4 linked regions of the Saccharomyces cerevisiae S288C genome follow. Changing the gene in region 2 together with the main gene of any one other region gives a genetic interaction. Each region holds a gene or a part of one and is shown on either strand. Other genes may lie near its edges. The genes, in order: CRC1, YNL035C, YOR387C and YCR051W.

What was found.
Region 1: mutations in YNL035C (region 2) and CRC1 together harm fitness more than expected from each alone (negative genetic interaction), as found in Saccharomyces cerevisiae (one large-scale study listed by BioGRID).
Region 3: mutations in YNL035C (region 2) and YOR387C together harm fitness more than expected from each alone (negative genetic interaction), as found in Saccharomyces cerevisiae (one large-scale study listed by BioGRID).
Region 4: mutations in YNL035C (region 2) and YCR051W impair growth when combined (synthetic growth defect), as found in Saccharomyces cerevisiae (one study listed by BioGRID).

What each region holds. Positions count from the first base shown.
Region 1 is NC_001147.6:512,750-516,256, reverse strand, and holds CRC1 (carnitine:acyl carnitine antiporter), read left to right. Parts: upstream 1-1,978; coding exon 1,979-2,962; downstream 2,963-3,507. Other genes in the region: Ras family GTPase RAS1, read right to left, coding at 84-1,013; alpha-1,2-mannosyltransferase KTR1, read right to left, coding at 3,251-3,507. UniProt on the Saccharomyces cerevisiae protein: Transports carnitine, acetylcarnitine, propionylcarnitine and to a much lower extent medium- and long-chain acylcarnitines.
Region 2 is NC_001146.8:566,609-573,071, reverse strand, and holds YNL035C (uncharacterized protein), read left to right. Parts: upstream 1-3,380; coding exon 3,381-4,550; downstream 4,551-6,463. Other genes in the region: YNL033W (uncharacterized protein), read right to left, coding at 1-73; YNL034W (uncharacterized protein), read right to left, coding at 757-2,595.
Region 3 is NC_001147.6:1,067,376-1,073,024, reverse strand, and holds YOR387C (uncharacterized protein), read left to right. Parts: upstream 1-2,783; coding exon 2,784-3,404; downstream 3,405-5,649. Other genes in the region: FDH1 (formate dehydrogenase (NAD+)), read left to right, coding at 102-1,232; deoxyribodipyrimidine photo-lyase PHR1, read right to left, coding at 4,489-5,649.
Region 4 is NC_001135.5:210,634-216,334, forward strand, and holds YCR051W (uncharacterized protein), read left to right. Parts: upstream 1-3,437; coding exon 3,438-4,106; downstream 4,107-5,701. Other genes in the region: BUD23 (18S rRNA (guanine1575-N7)-methyltransferase), read right to left, coding at 85-912; ARE1 (sterol acyltransferase), read left to right, coding at 1,296-3,128; YCR050C (uncharacterized protein), read right to left, coding at 2,831-3,139; RSC6 (Rsc6p), read left to right, coding at 4,361-5,701.

The sequences.
Region 1 (3,507 bases), on a different chromosome or scaffold from region 2:
AAAAGATGCTGGTGAAACCAATTGAACAAGTAAGAATAGACTTGCAATCAAAACCATGTCATATCAAGAGAGCAGGATCATTTTCAACAAATTATACAACAACCACCACTAGATTCTTTTCTAGCGTTGGCGCTTGAATTTTTTTGTGGCTCAGCAGACTGTTTACTTCTCGAATTTAAGGCATTATTTTGATTACCACGACTAATATCACTTCGATTTCCGTTGCCGTTACTGGAGTACTTGGTATTTCCTTCATTGTTATTGTTTTGATTAACGTAATTCTTTTCATCAGTTCGTTTAGTAGTTTCACCGTTATGGTTAACGGCTGACTTTGAACTGGAGCCAGTGCCAGCATTGGTCAAAGAATTATCGAGTACATAAGACCCGTTGTTCTTTTTTTCTCTATCCGCTGTTGCAGATGAGGTTAGCTCCGAATCTCTTATTTCATTCGTATTATCCAGTTGACGATTCATGCTATTGTATTTCCCACCGTCGTCCCTTACCAAACGAATAAGGCTATAAAAGGCCTCGTCTACGTTGATGGCTTGTTTCGCAGACGTTTCTAGAAAGGGTGCATTCAACTGCTTGGCCAGGCGTAACCCGTCTTCATAAGAGACTTGTCTTTCATTTTCAAGGTCCAATTTGTTACCTACCACGACTACAGGAATGTAGTCAGAATCTTTTACTCTTTGAATTTGCTGATAATAAGACAGTAACTCATCAAAGGAATTTCTAGAGGTGACGGAATAGACCAGTAGGAAACCTTCCCCAGTCCTCATGTACTGTTCTCTCATCGCAGAATACTCTTCTTGTCCAGCAGTATCTAGAATGTCCAAAATGGATACTTTGTCATCGATGACAACTTGTTTTCTGTAAGAATCTTCGATAGTAGGGTCATATTCGTCCACAAAGTATGATTGAATGAATTGAATTGTTAAAGCAGATTTACCAACGCCACCTCCACCGACAACTACTATCTTATACTCTCTTATAGTTGATTTATTTCCCTGCATGTCGTTCTAAAAAGGGAAAATTTTGTTTACCTGTTCAATCGTGAAATAGCCAAACCGAAGTCAATTGTGGCAGCAGTTAATTAAGCATTGCAAGAAAGAACAAGACAGATGATAATAGAGACACCGTACAAGAAAGAATCCAAATTAAGAGAACCATACAAAGACATAAAATATAAACCTTTCAATGTAAAACAAAAGGAGGAAAAAACCTGAAAAGCCGTGAAAAATTCATAATCTTGCGATGAGTTGAAAAAGTTTGTTGTCAAATGTCCATAGACTTACATGTAGTAAATATTTTTGGTTTCTTTTTTTTTCTTCGTGCTTTTTTTTTTTCCTACGGGTTTACATTGTGCCAATGTGAATTTCCCCGCCACTCCCTACCGAACGGGTAGCAGCGTAGAACATAGCGATCAAGGGTGTGCTAAGTGAAGAAGCAATTCAGTGCGGGTAATACATATTCCTAGCCTCGTTTGCCGTTACATTGCATTGATGGTACAATAAAGGGCATGCTTTATATCGAGATGTTTCAGTGTATATGAGGGGAAACAGAAAAGAGTCATTCCTGCCATTTTTTGGTCACTGCTTTTTCTGCTATGAGTAATGGTGAAGTTCCTTGTGGCTACACGCTTAATGTCATCGGGTTACTGCTCCTAATATCCGCATATAAGCTTTATGCAGGGATCAGTTGGGCGGCTATTTATCTACACCCAGTCATCCGGCGTGACTGGATCTCCACTTGCCGCAATAAGTCGGTGGACAAATGGAGATTTAAGAGTAAAGATGCATGATGGTATAATTCCTTTAGTCGAAATAGATATATTTCAAGCGCATATATAGGCAGACGCTTGTACTGTAGAAATAGCCGATATTCAATTGCGCTCTATGTGTGTTTTTATTCCAGGTTTTCCTTGGATTCTACGTATTGTACGACTTTCTTATCCTCCACAAACGTCATCGTGTCAGTAATGTCTTCAGACACTTCATTATCAGAATCTTCATTATTGAAAGAAGAGAGTGGGAGCTTGACCAAGTCTCGTCCACCTATAAAATCAAACCCTGTACGCGAAAATATCAAATCATTTGTGGCCGGTGGAGTTGGCGGGGTATGTGCGGTGTTTACGGGTCATCCCTTCGATTTGATTAAAGTGAGATGTCAAAATGGACAAGCGAATTCCACGGTACATGCCATTACAAATATTATAAAAGAAGCAAAAACTCAAGTAAAGGGCACATTATTTACCAATTCCGTAAAGGGGTTCTATAAAGGTGTTATCCCGCCCTTATTAGGTGTTACTCCCATATTCGCTGTTTCTTTCTGGGGTTACGATGTGGGTAAGAAACTGGTTACTTTTAATAACAAGCAAGGAGGCAGTAACGAGTTAACTATGGGACAAATGGCTGCAGCAGGATTTATCAGCGCTATTCCTACCACTTTAGTGACTGCGCCAACGGAAAGAGTAAAGGTTGTCCTGCAAACATCTTCTAAGGGCTCTTTCATTCAGGCGGCTAAAACCATTGTTAAAGAAGGTGGCATAGCTTCTTTATTTAAAGGTTCATTAGCCACTTTAGCAAGAGATGGGCCTGGCTCAGCTCTATATTTTGCATCTTATGAAATTTCAAAAAATTACTTGAATAGTAGGCAACCTCGTCAAGATGCGGGCAAAGATGAACCGGTCAATATCTTGAACGTGTGTCTTGCTGGTGGTATTGCTGGTATGTCGATGTGGCTAGCTGTTTTCCCCATAGACACTATAAAGACAAAATTGCAGGCTTCCTCCACGAGGCAGAATATGCTTTCCGCCACAAAGGAAATTTATCTACAAAGAGGTGGTATCAAGGGATTTTTCCCTGGTTTAGGTCCTGCTTTACTAAGATCTTTCCCAGCCAATGCGGCCACATTTTTAGGTGTGGAGATGACTCATTCACTGTTCAAGAAGTATGGCATATGATTAAATTTTTGTTAGGTGGACCTGCCTCCCATTTTTTTCTGGCATTCCTTTTGGGAACTTTTTGTTATTTTTTGGTTCTGCAATTTCGTTCAGTGTATGGTAGAAAATATCAGTTGGGTTATCCCGGTTTCCTTGGCGTTGTTGTCGAAGCGTTCATATTTGTAACGCAATGGAGTAAATATAAATGTGATATGTAAAAAAAAGAGTTATAATTTATTCTGTTTCTTTAAATAGTATAAATAAAAAAAGTGGAAAATACAAAGACAACGTGGGCTGATTACAGTATAATCAACCGATATGGTTTTGCCAACCAGCAGGCTTTGGCAACTTGTTTATATTGTAGAATTTAGTAGTACATGAATAACTGTGCCATGTGAAATCTTTGCTTGGATCACAGTCACATTTGTTAGCCAGTCTGATACTTGTGTCTATTGGACAGGAGTGAAATGGAACATGGTAATAACCAATATCACCGAAGTGATGGATTTCAGAGCGGTCCAAGAACAGCGCAGCACCAATAGAATGAACTGGAGCATCACCCCATC
Region 2 (6,463 bases):
GACAAAGTACGGTTAGGGAGGTAACCAACGCAAGGAAAAGGACGGTTGTCCTTGATTCTCTGGAGTAAAGCATGATCTCGCGCACGCTCTTGCTATTGACAGCCTCGTTGTATCAACTTGTGTTTAGGAAAGGAGGCAGAATAAAGATTAAAAATGGAAGAAAAGACTCAATGGTTCCAGCGAAACAAAGATGCTTGAAAAAAAAAATAATTCAGAAACGAGTCTCTTGTCAGGAAAGCAGTGTCAGGAAAACAGTGTCTGTTCTATAGTTTGTGTTGTGTCCCTCAAGCACTTTTGTTGTTAAAAAACCTTGCTAAAGTTTTGTACAGGTTTATACCGTTGTGCAAAAACTGCTGCTAGGATAACTGAACAGTTGTTTCTGTGGCAGATGTCGTGAATAGGCGCCTTTATTTTAAGGGTCCAGTGATTCGCGATGTGAATAAATACGCGCGCCGCTCTCGAAGGAACCTTTTGAGGCTGCTTCTGTCGATAAGAAGGCTTGGCAAAGGCCTTTGCTTTACTGCTTCTTTCCCGCCTTTTTGGTGCATTGGGTTAATTGATGAATATGCGTAAAATTTAAATCAGACTATGAAAACATATATAACAACTATTACAAGAGGGAAGTGGTAGTCTACTTGAAGAGGCGCGCCAGAAGAAAACGGTGGTAAGTACGAAGTTATGTGTAGACTAACTTGCTCGTTAAAAGTATTTCGTCAGCCGTGCCAAACAGTTCGAACTATCGGAACTTCTGACGGTTCACTGATGTACAAAAGTTGAGAGCCATTTTCGTAACCGGCTTTTTGTCCCATGCTCAGAAGGATGCATTGGTACGGTCACTTCGATATTCCTTCTCTGTGAGTGGAGCCAGAGCTTTTTGTTAGTTTCTAGTTCTGTTGCTGTGCGAGACTCACGAACAAGTAGTAGCCGGCATGGTTTAGATGGTTCTGGCACGGTAAGCTGAGGAGCGCTATTATGGTTGCGGGTAGTACAGTCATTAGAAGGTGGAATAGATTCCTTGCATATGTCTATCAGTGCCTGAAACGCCCTCTCAATGAGGGAGGTGCCAGGACTCAAAATTAAGGATTGTTCGGCGGGATGCGGTAAGCCTTCGTATACTAGGTTGTTGGACGGAAAAATCTGATACGGCTTGATCTGAATGTTAGGATCGACCTTACTGTCTAAAGTATCGAGAGTGATGTTTCCTTTTCGGTTTAAAGACTTCTTCTCGCCGACATCGAGAGAAAAATGAATGTGATCAAGAACCAGATCTATTTCTCTTTGTGTGTTTTTCCAGGGACAAAAAATGGAGTAGGGCTCAATCCTCTGGAAACCTTCGTATTTGTATTGGTATGAATAAAAACGGCACTCTGCTTCCTCCATAAGTTGGTCGTAGCTGGGCATTGTATCGAAGTTGAAGGGTCTCTTCCAGAATGGAATACTTTTATTTGAGGGATTGTAGTACCTTCTGGGCTCAGATTGTTCGTCTAAAAGCAGGTATTGAACAGCTATCATCTTGCGCTCAAATTTAAATTCGAGGGAATCGTAGTCAATGTTCTTTGTACTTCTCAGAAAGAGTGGACAGTATTTTCCCATTTTGCTTTCAAACCAGTTCTGTGGCCTGTCAAGGTACTGTTGCATGTATGAAGGAACTACAGTAGTCAACGTGTGGTTAGACTGGGAAAATTCCGCTGCGGACCCGACGCTGCAGCTTATATTTTGATTGCGGGGAGCAGGAGCGCAGGCATCTTGTTTAGATTTTTGGCTTGGATAATGTTTGTGGTGATCAGTGGAATTTATTGGGCAGTAAATTTCAGTTGGAATGATAGATTCATTCGTCTCTTTTGTTCTGGAGTCCTTGGTGCGGCGGAAATCAAAGCAAGTCACTTCTGCGTTAAGCGATGCGAAATTGCCGTCTGGAAATGACGATATGTGGGGAGAATGAGGAGGATTCCATGACGAATAAACTGATGAGGATGTGCTAACAGATGAGGTTAGTGAGGGTACCGATTCGTTGTTTTCTGACGCAGAGTCTGTTGTGGGAGATGTGGTAGCGTTATTTCTTTGCACAAGAGAAGGTGGGAGCATAGCACGGTTGTGGGAGGAGGAAGAAAGCATTACGTTGCAACTATCATTTACGGAGTGGGATAAGAGGTAGGAGGTTGTCATAGCGGTGCTTTCTTCCTGGTGCATGGCAGAAGACGTTGGCAGTAATTCGTTTATTATGGTGACATTGTCGTGATTAGAAAGGACTGTCTCTTTTACCATTGCCTCGGGTATGTTTTTTGACGCTTGCCCTGAACTTACTCCAGAGCAAGCCTCAGTAGAAGAATGACCGGAATGATTCCTCTTATACACGTTCCAGAGCGGAGCATTCTTGACATCATAAAAAAAGTTGCTGACAGGATCTTTGGACTGGTTGACGTTAAGTGGTTCCGTAGCTGGTCTGATGTTTTCTTGTACGGTATCACTGACGGCTGAGAAACCTTCAGAGGAACCGCTTTCGGGAACAGACTTGGAGGATTGCAAATTAAGCCATTGAAAGTCTAGCCCAACCTTGTTGCAAAAGGCCTTGAACTCCTGGAAAGATGTAGACATTATGTGGGCGAAAAACAAAATTAGACCAACGCTTTAGCAAATTTTTTCAACCTCAAATTGATATTTGAAGATTAGATCGGATGGTTTTTTTTCCTGTGGTGTAGGCCAAGCTTAAACAAGGTTTTAAGTGAAAGTGGAAATAATTGTGATAAACATGCGGAAAGAGTGCCAGCCTTAAATAATTCCGCATTGTTGCTATGTCGTTTTGTTTTTGTTTTTGTTTTCGTCTTATTGGTATTTGTTCATTTTACGACCACAAAGGATCCAGGGCTTCTACTTGCACAGGGAGGGTTGCTTGGTTAATACAATACAAACGTCAGAGATATTAAGATTTGTAAAGGGTGCATTCAATGAGTTTTTCCTCAATGTGCCCTAGAAAGGAAGTAGTACGAACATTTCTCAGTCGGAGTTTGCCGGAAATTCGAATGACAGTGTAAGTTGAGTTTTGTGGCACAGGGATAATGAGCGGTGGTGCTGGCACACAGTAGTGACGTTGGTTTGGTAGTGTGGAGGGACGGTGGAAAACAGATAACAGTGGTCTCTTGGCCCAGTTGGTTAAGGCACCGTGCTAATAACGCGGGGATCAGCGGTTCGATCCCGCTAGAGACCATTCTTTTTTTTTGCATTGGCAATGTGATTTATAAAAGTTTTCTTAGTCCAGATTGTAAAAATGTTAGATGGGACTACAGTGCACGTACGCAGTCATTAGGACATAGGCACTGGCTCGTCTTACTGTGTAAATAAAAACTACTTAAGTTCGAGAATCTCAAATTAACTTCTAGAGCATGGCTAGTTATTCTTTAGTTGAATCGAATTCTTTCGGGTCAGAAAATTGGTGTCTTAAGTTACAGCCTAGTTATAAACATGGTCTTTTAACTGGATTAAGTAATGGCGAAATACGTTTGCTAGACTGGAGTACTGGTAAATCAGTACAAAAGATTAAGGCGAGCGAAACTGCAATCAATGATATGAAGGTCATCGGTAGCGACTTCTCTGCTGGTCATCTAGTTAGTAGCGCCTCTATCGACGCGGTGAAAGTTTTCGATATAAGGACGAATGACCGCATTGCTCAAATTCAAAACGAGGCCAACTCCCCCTTTATTTCCTTAGATTCTCGTCATGGTCTATTGGCCTGTGGTACCGAATTGCAGGGAATTGACGCTGCTGTATACATATATGATATTCGCAAATGGGACACTCCATTGAGATCATTAATTGACTCTCACCATGATGACGTTACCTGTATTAAATTTCATCCTTCTGACGTCAATATTTTGCTCAGTGGTTCAACTGATGGTTACACGAACATTTATGACTTGAAACAAGATGAGGAGGAGGACGCTTTACACCAAGTTATTAATTATGCGTCAATACATTCCTGTGGATGGTTGTCCCCAAAGAGGATATTTACACTATCACATATGGAAACATTTGCAATTCACGAATTGAACGACAAATCTGACGAATTGAAAGAGCCACAACCCTTGGACTTTGGTGATGTAAGAGAAATATGGAACTGTGACTACGTGGTAGATATTTACCCTGGACTCATTGCAACCGGTAAAACCCAAGAAAATTGTGGAGAGTTGTGCCTCCTACCATTTAAAGATGAGAAGGTGGATACTGAAAACGGTATTGTTATCCCACACGCCCATGGAGACGAGGTCGTCAGAGATATTTTTATACCAGCACAACATAGCAACATGTTATACTCCTGTGGTGAAGATGGTTGCGTTAAAATTTGGGAAAACAAACAGGGGCCGTTAGATATTCCAGAAAATTTTTGGGATTACTCTAAAAAAATGAACGTCTTAGGAGATGACGACAGAGAAGGTTCCATTAATTTAGACGAACCTCTTATTATTCAAAAAGAATCGGTTTCCACGAGGCCAAGGAAGGAGAAACACAAGAAAGCCAAGAAACATTCCATGAAAAGTCGTTTCAAACCATACTAGTTTCATAAAGACAATACATCTAAAGAGATGCCTAACATCTGCAAGAGATTTCGGCAGAACTACTCTATAACTTAAAAAACGAAGCATACATTCCAAACAAGTTGATACTTCTAGATCATAGTTTATCTTCATAGGGCTTCTTTTGTTGGTACAATGTTATAACAACTATATTTCTGCTATATAGAGTATTAATGCATTTTTTTTTTTTATCTCCAGCATTAAACGTGCACGCTTCTATAAGGTGGAAAAAAAATACTAGAAAAGGAATAAGTGAAACACCACGTTGATGGTGAAAAAATATAAAGGGGCGAGCTGGGAATTGAACCCAGGGCCTCTCGCATGCTTTGTCTTCCTGTTTAGGCAGGAAGTCGCCCAAAGCGAGAATCATACCACTAGACCACACGCCCGATTATTTTATGGTGATTTCTGTCTCACAGGAAATTGTTATCAAAGGATAAATAGCATATTTGTCTTAAAGAAGGTTTTATAAATAGACATGCAGAATGTACTTATCAGTGGTATTGGAATGTGTTGGAATAAAAATCAACTATCATCTACTAACTAGTATTTACGTTACTAGTATATTATCATATACGGTGTTAGAAGATGACGCAAATGATGAGAAATAGTCATCTAAATTAGTGGAAGCTGAAACGCAAGGATTGATAATGTAATAGGATCAATGAATATTAACATATAAAATGATGATAATAATATTTATAGAATTGTATAGAATTGCAGATTCCCTTTTATGGATTCCTAAATCCTCGAGGAGAACTTCTAGTATATCTACATACCTAATATTATTGCCTTATAAAAAATGGAATCCCAACAATTACATCAAAATCCACATTTTTCTTCATGGTAGCGCCTATGCTTCGGTTACTTCTAAGGAAGTCCCATCAAATCAAGATCCGTTAGCCGTTTCAGCTTCCAATTTACCGGAATTTGATAGAGATTCCACTAAGGTTAATTCTCAACAAGAGACAACACCTGGGACATCAGCTGTTCCAGAGAACCATCATCATGTCTCTCCTCAACCTGCTTCAGTACCACCTCCACAGAATGGACAGTACCAACAGCACGGCATGATGACCCCAAACAAAGCTATGGCCTCTAACTGGGCACATTACCAACAACCATCTATGATGACGTGTTCACATTATCAAACGTCACCTGCGTATTATCAACCGGACCCACACTATCCGTTGCCACGGTATATCCCACCACTGAGTACTTCCTCACCTGATCCAATCGATTTAAAAAATCAACACTCTGAAATACCTCAAGCTAAGACAAAGGTGGGAAATAACGTCTTACCACCACACACTTTAACATCAGAAGAAAACTTTTCTACATGGGTTAAATTTTACATCAGATTTTTGAAGAACTCTAATCTCGGTGACATCATTCCAAATGACCAGGGTGAAATCAAAAGACAAATGACTTATGAAGAACATGCGTATATATACAATACCTTCCAAGCATTTGCCCCATTTCATTTATTGCCAACATGGGTAAAACAAATTTTAGAAATTAATTATGCTGACATCCTTACAGTCCTTTGTAAAAGTGTGTCCAAAATGCAAACTAACAATCAAGAATTAAAGGATTGGATAGCTCTTGCCAACCTTGAGTACGACGGAAGTACATCTGCTGATACATTTGAAATTACAGTCAGTACGATCATTCAGAGGCTAAAAGAAAACAATATCAATGTTAGCGACAGATTGGCCTGTCAACTAATACTTAAAGGTCTATCCGGTGACTTCAAATACCTACGTAATCAATATCGTACCAAAACGAACATGAAACTTTCCCAATTATTCGCTGAAATTCAGTTAATATATGACGAAAATAAAATCATGAATCTAAATAAACCGTCCCAATACAAACAACACAGCGAATACAAA
Region 3 (5,649 bases), on a different chromosome or scaffold from region 2:
TATGCATATTCTTGTATTGTGCTTTTTTTATTCATTTTAAGCAGGAACAATTTACAAGTATTGCAACGCTAATCAAATCAAAATAACAGCTGAAAATTAATATGTCGAAGGGAAAGGTTTTGCTGGTTCTTTACGAAGGTGGTAAGCATGCTGAAGAGCAGGAAAAGTTATTGGGGTGTATTGAAAATGAACTTGGTATCAGAAATTTCATTGAAGAACAGGGATACGAGTTGGTTACTACCATTGACAAGGACCCTGAGCCAACCTCAACGGTAGACAGGGAGTTGAAAGACGCTGAAATTGTCATTACTACGCCCTTTTTCCCCGCCTACATCTCGAGAAACAGGATTGCAGAAGCTCCTAACCTGAAGCTCTGTGTAACCGCTGGCGTCGGTTCAGACCATGTCGATTTAGAAGCTGCAAATGAACGGAAAATCACGGTCACCGAAGTTACTGGTTCTAACGTCGTTTCTGTCGCAGAGCACGTTATGGCCACAATTTTGGTTTTGATAAGAAACTATAATGGTGGTCATCAACAAGCAATTAATGGTGAGTGGGATATTGCCGGCGTGGCTAAAAATGAGTATGATCTGGAAGACAAAATAATTTCAACGGTAGGTGCCGGTAGAATTGGATATAGGGTTCTGGAAAGATTGGTCGCATTTAATCCGAAGAAGTTACTGTACTACGACTACCAGGAACTACCTGCGGAAGCAATCAATAGATTGAACGAGGCCAGCAAGCTTTTCAATGGCAGAGGTGATATTGTTCAGAGAGTAGAGAAATTGGAGGATATGGTTGCTCAGTCAGATGTTGTTACCATCAACTGTCCATTGCACAAGGACTCAAGGGGTTTATTCAATAAAAAGCTTATTTCCCACATGAAAGATGGTGCATACTTGGTGAATACCGCTAGAGGTGCTATTTGTGTCGCAGAAGATGTTGCCGAGGCAGTCAAGTCTGGTAAATTGGCTGGCTATGGTGGTGATGTCTGGGATAAGCAACCAGCACCAAAAGACCATCCCTGGAGGACTATGGACAATAAGGACCACGTGGGAAACGCAATGACTGTTCATATCAGTGGCACATCTCTGGATGCTCAAAAGAGGTACGCTCAGGGAGTAAAGAACATCCTAAATAGTTACTTTTCCAAAAAGTTTGATTACCGTCCACAGGATATTATTGTGCAGAATGGTTCTTATGCCACCAGAGCTTATGGACAGAAGAAATAAGAGTGATTATGAGTATTTGTGAGCAGAAGTTTTCCGGTCTCCTTTTGTTCTTGTTTTGGCGTATTCTCCACTATTCGTCCATAGCACATTTATACCTTAGCTAAATATTTTGTAAAGCAAAATTTTCGTTATCTCTTAAAAAATAGAAGAGCGGTTTATTAATATCAAATAATTGAAACTGCTGATATGGTAGCTATATACAAAATCTGCTGTCAAAATTTGGCAGTAAACGATCTTCACGGTAGCGGTTCAAATAAAGAGGAAAAGTCTTTCTCCCTTACTGTTTTTCTGGAATTTGGCTCGTCGTTAATAACAGAACTAAAGATACAGTAAAAGGAGAGATCGCAATCAACTTCATTAATTGTAACAGTAGCATAATCACAACTGATCATCTACACTATAAACAGTTTTTATTTCTAATTATGGGCGCCTGGCCGGCTCAAACATTGTGCTTTTAAGACTCCAAAAGTATCTGCTGCAGAAAAGAGCCATATAATGTTAAGTGTTCAGGGATAGGTTATCGCTTACTACTTCAAACGTTTCGAAGGAAAGCCAGGGAAGCCTATATCTGATTCCCTGTTTCATAATCCAATGCAGCCACTAGCTTATAATTATTTGAACTATTTGTCGAACATCACAGTAATAAAATCCCCAGAAAGTTCCACTTGCTGCATATTGGCACCTGTTGATTCACTCTCCATCACTTTTTTGTTAGCCGCCCAGCCTAGAAAGTCTTTAAATACATCTGAAATTTTTTTTTTTTTAACAGTGCACCCGTGCATCATACCTCATGCAAGGTACCTTTTTTTCTCAAAGGTATTGTCTTCCATTGAAGTGGCACTATGGCATGATGAACCCTGAGCATTTCTGAATTCAACAGAACCAAATTGTCCAGAAATAAATCTGTCCGACATGAATTATGAAACTTTTTTTCAATTAAGTGAAGAGAATTTTGCAGCGTCTTACCATTATTTTGACCCATTGGTCGCATGTTTGCGCTTTGACTTCGAGAACCATGTTAAAGCTTACTTGTACGACAACCAATGAAGTATATTACGGCAGTTTTTTTGGACTGGGTCAAAAAAAGTGTTGCATAATCAAATCAGGAACACATTAAAATGTTGTAAAATTTGTCTTAGTATCACCTGAGTGGTTATTCATTACGTACTACTGTCAAAATATTCGGATCTTTCCTAAACGGGCTTTTGAATTAGTGTTGCTTCTATTCCTGGAATGGAAGGTAATACTTTCATGCATTCTCGCTTTTCGGACTTTTAACAATAAATTAAAAACAATGATACTTTCATCAACTACCTATACACCCTGCGGGTCAATTATTTTTTTTTCGAATAACCGCTGAGGTTGGAAATATAGAAACATATTCCAGATCTGTATTTTCAGTTGCTAGAAAAAGGTTAATATAATCATTAAGGTTTTCAGCATATAACAGGTATAATTGATATATAAGCATCGTAATTTTCATTCAAAATGGAGAGCTACTGCTTCTGATAGATTGTACAATCTCAAGAAATCAAGAACAACAACCATACCATGAGTTTCCTAAACATTTTTACTTTTTTCAGCGTCCTTGTGTCTGTTGCAACAGCCGTCAGATTTGATTTGACTAACGTCACTTGTAATAACCTACATGGACCTCACTGTGGTACCTACGTTATGGAAGTCGTTGGCCAAAATGGTACATTTTTGGGTCAATCTACGTTTGCTGGTGCCGACGTTTTAACTGAAAGCGCTGGTGACGCTTGGGCAAGATATTTGGGCCAGGAAACAAGATTCCTCCCAAAGTTGACTACTATTGCTAGCAATGATACGAAGAACTTTTCTCCACTAATCTTCACCACCAATATCTACACTTGTAACCCTCAATCCATTGGTGATGCTATGGTTCCTTTTGCTAACACTGTTACTGGTGAAATTGAATACAACTCTTGGGCAGACACCGCTGATAATGCTTCCTTCATAACCGGTTTAGCTAACCAATTGTTTAACTCTACTCAGTATGGCGTTCAAGTTGCTTCCTGTTACCCAAACTTTGCTTCTGTTATTTTGAGCACCCCAACTGTGAACATTTTCGCTGCGAATGAGACATTACCAGATTATTGTACCGCCATCCAGTTGAAGGCCGTTTGTCCACCAGACGCTGGTTTTGCTTGATTTTTTCCAGCTGCATAATCTGTAGACATATTTTAAGTATATTTTTTAGGCAGTTTTATAAATTAACAGACTATAATTATTTTAGAGAAAAAGACCCAGATTTATACTTCTGACTTTTCTTTTTTATGTTGATCTTATTGTCACTGTCATTGGATCATAATAATGATTCTTTTTTGAACTTCTCTTGAAAGTATCCTCTTATTCTCTTTTGATGATAGGTCCAAATGCACGTGTACTTAGAGATTAGAGCGCAGATGGTTTTCTTGTCAACATCATATCAATTGTTTGCCGAACCAAAATACAACGTTGACTTGATCGTTCCTAGGTCCATCAGCTACTGCACATTCTTACGAGTTATTCATCCGTGAAATATAGCTACATTTTCGAGCATATCTTGAAGTGGTCCATTCTCAACATCACCCTTTCAATTACGCGTGTTTTAAAATACCCAACGTCGTCAGAATCCGACTGATCATCATGGTAAGACTATTGCTCCAAGCAATCTAACCAAGGCATTCTCTTTTCCCTTTTAATTAGTTCACAGTCACTGGCAAACAATCTTCTCTAATCAAAAAAAGAAATTTATTCTATATTGTCTTCTCCGTATTTTGCCCTCTTCACTCCTTTTGCCGTGCCTCGCATAATCTAGTTATTGTGTTTAATATTGTTTTTCTTCTTGAAAACTTGTGTAATAATTTACAATAAAATTTAGTGTTATAGTGAATATACTAGAGACATCGACAAACTTTTTTGTCAGTTTTCAGCTAGACAGTTGTATTGATTGTATTGACTAGGTCTGGATTAAGATGGGCACATCCTTCAGTAGCTACTCAGGAGCCACAGTTTTCATAGTAGTAATGAGATATAACCGCCGCCAGCTATCGGTGTTTTCTAGGTCCACTACTGTTATAAAAACTATAAACCCTATCATTTCCGTAAATTCTTGAAAGCGTTAGTTTATGATGAACTTCCTAAAGAACCTGGCAAGGCGACCAATACCATATAATTTGCCGAAATACTAACAGTGATCAAGCAAAGCGGCAAAACTACTAAAGCACACCTGCTTAATCAGGAGACGTTATTCTCACATTGCGTCTTTATAAACTTTCAAAGCACGCTCCCTACTATGCTTTAAATCAACTAAAGGTTTTGGATAGTTTTCTGGACGCTTATTTTCGGAAGAAATCAATTCGGGAACCCATTGTTTGACGAATATCATTTGTGGGTCATATTTTTTTGCTTGTATATCCATATTAAAAACTCTAAAATATGGTTGGGCATCAATTCCTGTACTAGAACAAAAACCCCAGCCACCAACATTTGAAGACGAATCACCGTCTATCAAGTGTTTCATAAACCAGCGTTCCCCCCATCTCCAATCTATTAATAAGTTTTTAGAAAGAAAAGAAGCTGTGATCATTCTAGATCTGTTATTAATATAGCCTGTGTACAGTAATTTTCTCATTATGGCATCGACTATGGGAATGCCTGTATTACCAGTACACCACTTTTCAAATGCTACAGGGTTATTCTCCCATTTTATATCTAAAGTGTCCAATCGATAAGGCATTCCCATTGAGGTATATGGCCAGTTGCACATACAATGTCTGTAAAAATCTCTCCATGCAACTTCTTTGATGAAATTTTGGGTGGACGAATTATCTTTCAGTGCTTTTGACATTATTTGTCCGTTGCATGATTGAAATGCCTGGTTGACTATAAGTCTTGTGCTTATCCTACCAGTAGTTATATATACACTTAGCCCAGAGGTTCCACCCAAATATAGCATGTCTTTTTCATTGTTGTACTTAGAACTTTTTGTACCGAGGAAATCTTTTAATCTGGATAAAGCTGCTTCTTCAGAAACGTCTGGCAAGCACCATTTTGATTTAGGTATATATTGAAGGAATTCATCCGGTAATGAATATTGGAATGGCTTCAGTTCAAAAGTTTCGTTGTACTTTAATGGTTCGATTATATGCAAATGACAAATTTCAGAGGTACTCTTTTTGTAATTATTTACATATAGCACCCATTTTTTGTACCATGGAGTAAACACAGAATAGTTGGTGCCTCTGTCAGTAGTGATCAATCCAGGAGCAACAATGCAAGAGTCGTGGTAGTATTTCAATTGCAATCTATGGTCTTCATTTTCTAACAGCCTAATATCACGGTACAGTTCATCTGTTTGGTATTCTATATTAGCAGTGATTATCGTACCTGTTCCTGAACTTACATTCATACA
Region 4 (5,701 bases), on a different chromosome or scaffold from region 2:
AAGGAGACAGAGACAGAGGGAAATGTATAAGTGTGTATTTTTATAGTATACAAAAGAATATGCGTGTGAGGATGTGTGTTTCTTCTAGAACCTGTGTCTTCTTTTCCTCCCGGTGAACTTGGAGTCCTTCGCAACTTTCCTCCCACGTCTTTTCATGAGCTCCTTCTTTCTTAGAATGAAACTCTTGGCAGACTCCTTGTCTTTGCCTCCCTTCAAGCGCTGGCGCAGTTGTTTCTTCAAGTTGACGTTCTCCTCGTCCATGGTCACACCGTCCAAATTCACCTGCTCCTCCCCCTGCGGTGGGGCCCCACTGCTCAACACAAGGTAGTACTTCTTATTCTTTTTAGACTCTGGGTCGTCCACCACAAGCCCGCCACTGAACCCTGCCACCTTGGCAGACTGCAGTATGTCGTCCACCTGGTCGTCGTTTTTCGGGTAGAACTGGGCCACAAATTTCCCTCCCTTCTTCAGTGCAGCATACAATGTGTTGAAAAACCTCATCAACCGCTGTTTAGGATCGTTGTATGAAGTGTCCGCATTGCACAGCCATTGGATCGCACTGATACTAATAGCCGCGTCAAACGAGCCCGCCCGGAACGGTATCCCGGTGCCCATATCCTGCAACATCAAGTCGCCCTCCAGCTCTCTACTAAGACCGGTCGCAAGCATGCTGGGCGATATATCCAAACCACACCACACATGGTCTCCCTCCTGCGTCAAAATCTCCCCAGACAGTCCGGACCCGCACCCGATATCCAGAATGAAACTGCACGGCTGCAGATTCAAAAGCTCCAACGCCCTCAGCGTCATCTTCGCCTGGATATGCTGCACTCTGGTCGAACCCGTGTACTTGTGTGCTTCGCTATCATTATAGAAAATCTCCGGTGGTGCCAACTCCTCAGGACGTGACATTATTTCTTCTCTGATATATTTCCTGTGTTTCCGTACCGCACCTTTTTAGCACTACTTTTTTACTATGCTCTTCTTCTTCTGCTTCTTCTGCTTTTTTCCTCTTTATCACACTATGTATGTGCTGCTCATCTCTTCTTTTTATCGATAAAATTGAAAAATGTGAGATGGTGTAGAGTGAAAAAAAAAAAAAAATCTGGCTTGGCCATCAAATACCCGGCCGTGGTTGGACTCGTTTAGCGAACAATAGCACCCAGCAGACCCTGGCAACATGCGGATGATATAAGAAGGACGAGCGTGGTGGAGGAAAGGGGCGCCATTGGCACACTCACGCAGGTGGTTGTTCAGCACGGCTTGCAGCAAGAGCGCCAAAACAGATTGCAAGAATGACGGAGACTAAGGATTTGTTGCAAGACGAAGAGTTTCTTAAGATCCGCAGACTCAATTCCGCAGAAGCCAACAAACGGCATTCGGTCACGTACGATAACGTGATCCTGCCACAGGAGTCCATGGAGGTTTCGCCACGGTCGTCTACCACGTCGCTGGTGGAGCCAGTGGAGTCGACTGAAGGAGTGGAGTCGACTGAGGCGGAACGTGTGGCAGGGAAGCAGGAGCAGGAGGAGGAGTACCCTGTGGACGCCCACATGCAAAAGTACCTTTCACACCTGAAGAGCAAGTCTCGGTCGAGGTTCCACCGAAAGGATGCTAGCAAGTATGTGTCGTTTTTTGGGGACGTGAGTTTTGATCCTCGCCCCACGCTCCTGGACAGCGCCATCAACGTGCCCTTCCAGACGACTTTCAAAGGTCCGGTGCTGGAGAAACAGCTCAAAAATTTACAGTTGACAAAGACCAAGACCAAGGCCACGGTGAAGACTACGGTGAAGACTACGGAGAAAACGGACAAGGCAGATGCCCCCCCAGGAGAAAAACTGGAGTCGAACTTTTCAGGGATCTACGTGTTCGCATGGATGTTCTTGGGCTGGATAGCCATCAGGTGCTGCACAGATTACTATGCGTCGTACGGCAGTGCATGGAATAAGCTGGAAATCGTGCAGTACATGACAACGGACTTGTTCACGATCGCAATGTTGGACTTGGCAATGTTCCTGTGCACTTTCTTCGTGGTTTTCGTGCACTGGCTGGTGAAAAAGCGGATCATCAACTGGAAGTGGACTGGGTTCGTTGCAGTGAGCATCTTCGAGTTGGCTTTCATCCCCGTGACGTTCCCCATTTACGTCTACTACTTTGATTTCAACTGGGTCACGAGAATCTTCCTGTTCCTGCACTCCGTGGTGTTTGTTATGAAGAGCCACTCGTTTGCCTTTTACAACGGGTATCTTTGGGACATAAAGCAGGAACTCGAGTACTCTTCCAAACAGTTGCAAAAATACAAGGAATCTTTGTCCCCAGAGACCCGCGAGATTCTGCAAAAAAGTTGCGACTTTTGCCTTTTCGAATTGAACTACCAGACCAAGGATAACGACTTCCCCAACAACATCAGTTGCAGCAATTTCTTCATGTTCTGTTTGTTCCCCGTCCTCGTGTACCAGATCAACTACCCAAGAACGTCGCGCATCAGATGGAGGTATGTGTTGGAGAAGGTGTGCGCCATCATTGGCACCATCTTCCTCATGATGGTCACGGCACAGTTCTTCATGCACCCGGTGGCCATGCGCTGTATCCAGTTCCACAACACGCCCACCTTCGGCGGCTGGATCCCCGCCACGCAAGAGTGGTTCCACCTGCTCTTCGACATGATTCCGGGCTTCACTGTTCTGTACATGCTCACGTTTTACATGATATGGGACGCTTTATTGAATTGCGTGGCGGAGTTGACCAGGTTTGCGGACAGATATTTCTACGGCGACTGGTGGAATTGCGTTTCGTTTGAAGAGTTTAGCAGAATCTGGAACGTCCCCGTTCACAAATTTTTACTAAGACACGTGTACCACAGCTCCATGGGCGCATTGCATTTGAGCAAGAGCCAAGCTACATTATTTACTTTTTTCTTGAGTGCCGTGTTCCACGAAATGGCCATGTTCGCCATTTTCAGAAGGGTTAGAGGATATCTGTTCATGTTCCAACTGTCGCAGTTTGTGTGGACTGCTTTGAGCAACACCAAGTTTCTACGGGCAAGACCGCAGTTGTCCAACGTTGTCTTTTCGTTTGGTGTCTGTTCAGGGCCCAGTATCATTATGACGTTGTACCTGACCTTATGAACTGCCACCATACCACGTGTGTCCCTCGCAAGCCCTTGATAGATATACAATAGGGAATGGGCGTCCGCTCCACCGTGGTCAAAGACAGGGGCAAAGAGCTCCTAGGTCTATATATATATCTATATACATATTTATATATATTATTAGAACTTTACAATATAGTATATACCATTCATTGTTTAAGTTTCGGGTAATACTTTTTTTTTCCTTGTCATAACCCCAAAAATTTTCGATGCCTTTGATATAATTGAGAACAAGAAGAGTTTGCAGGTGACAAAAATCGATGATTATAGGTGTTGTGACGACAAAATGAACGCTAATATATGGGTGGCTGCTTCAGATGGTAATTTGGACCGAGTGGAACATATCCTCCGCGAGAGTAAAGGCGCCATGACCCCGCAATCCAAGGACATTAACGGCTACACTCCAATGCATGCTGCCGCCGCATACGGCCACCTGGATTTGCTGAAGAAAATGTGCAATGAGTACAATGGAGACATTAATGTGTTGGACAACGACGGCGATACCCCGTTGCACCATGTGGAGGATGTGGCCACTGCCAGGTTGATCGTGGAAGAGCTGGGTGGAGACTTCACTATCAGGAATGTGGAGGGCCAAACGCCATACGACTCGTTCGTCGAGAACGGTGAAGATGGTGAGCTAATCGAGTACATGAGGATTAAGTCCGGCGTGGCCGATGTTCACGGAGTGGACGGCGTGCAGGGTGAGGGTGTCATCGACAGCAAATTGCTGGAAGAGTTCAAGGACAACGTGAGATACACCTTGGAAAATGACCCTGAGGAAGGAGCCGATGAGGCCACTCTGCAACGCAGGAGGCAGTTGGAACAGATCATTACGGGAGACAACGCTGAGGAGGAGTTGGAAAGGTACATCCGTGCTATGGTCAGAGAGCAGATGCTGGGCCAGGGCTCCATGGCGGGTTCCGGGGACGAACCAGATTCCAAGAGAAGAAAATAACGACCCAGCACAAAGGCTCTTACAGCTTGCTAAAAGAAATTGAACGCGACGCTACATGAACTACTTCTTTCTCTTACATAGTCTTTTCCCTTATGTATCTTTTCTGTACATTAATAGACGTTCTTACAAGGTAAAATTTCACCGCGTTTTTAAATAGAATGAAAAAAACGTTGTAGAGTGAAAGAAAAGCAACAAATATACAGTTCACAAGGCAGCTTCGTATAGTAATACAGCACGAAAAACAGCTCATAGAAATGGTAACACAGACCAATCCGGTCCCTGTTACATATCCAACGGATGCTTATATCCCCACGTATCTGCCCGATGATAAGGTCTCCAATCTGGCAGATTTGAAAAAATTGATAGAAATGGATTCCAGACTAGATTTGTATCTGACAAGAAGGAGGCTGGATACGTCCATCAATTTACCTACAAACACCAAGACCAAGGACCATCCCCCCAATAAAGAGATGCTGAGGATTTACGTCTACAACACTACGGAAAGCAGCCCTCGCAGCGATTCTGGCACCCCAGCGGACTCAGGCAAGACTACATGGACACTGAGAATAGAAGGTAAGCTTCTGCACGAGTCCGCAAACGGAAAGCACCCATTTAGTGAGTTTTTGGAAGGTGTCGCGGTCGACTTTAAAAGACTGAAACCGCTGGGCATGGGCAAGAAGAGGAAACGCGATTCGTCATTGAGCCTTCCTTTGAATCTGCAACAACCCGAATACAATGATCAAGATAGCACCATGGGCGATAACGACAACGGCGAGGATGAGGACAGTGCAGAGGCAGAATCCAGGGAGGAAATTGTAGACGCACTGGAATGGAACTACGATGAAAACAACGTTGTGGAGTTTGATGGTATCGACATCAAGAGGCAAGGCAAGGATAATTTGCGATGCAGTATAACCATCCAGTTGAGGGGTGTCGACGGTGGAAAAGTACAGTACTCGCCCAACTTAGCTACCTTGATAGGTATGCAAACGGGCTCCGTTAATGACGCGGTTTATTCGATCTACAAGTACATTTTGATCAACAATCTGTTTGTTACGGAACAAACAGAGGCTCAAGATGGTTCCAACGATGCCGAAGACAGCAGTAACGAGAATAACAATAAAAACGGTGCTGGTGACGATGATGGCGTCGAGGGAAGTACTCCAAAGGATAAGCCCGAATTGGGTGAAGTGAAGCTAGATTCACTCTTACAAAAGGTATTGGATACAAACGCCGCGCACCTCCCCTTGATGAATGTTGTGCAAACCGTGAACAAACTGGTATCACCCCTACCGCCCATCATCCTAGATTATACAATTGATCTTTCCAAAGATACCACCTATGGTGCTACCACCTTGGATGTAGATGTGTCGCACATTCTCCACCAGCCTCAACCCCAGCCAAATTTACAAAAAGAGGAAGAAACAGATGCTGAAGACACAGCAAAACTACGTGAAATCACAAAGCTTGCCTTGCAGTTGAACTCTAGTGCTCAAAAATACCAGTTTTTCCACGAACTGTCTTTGCATCCAAGAGAAACGCTGACTCACTACTTATGGTCTTCCAAGCAAAACGAGCTTGTGCTGCAGGGCGAC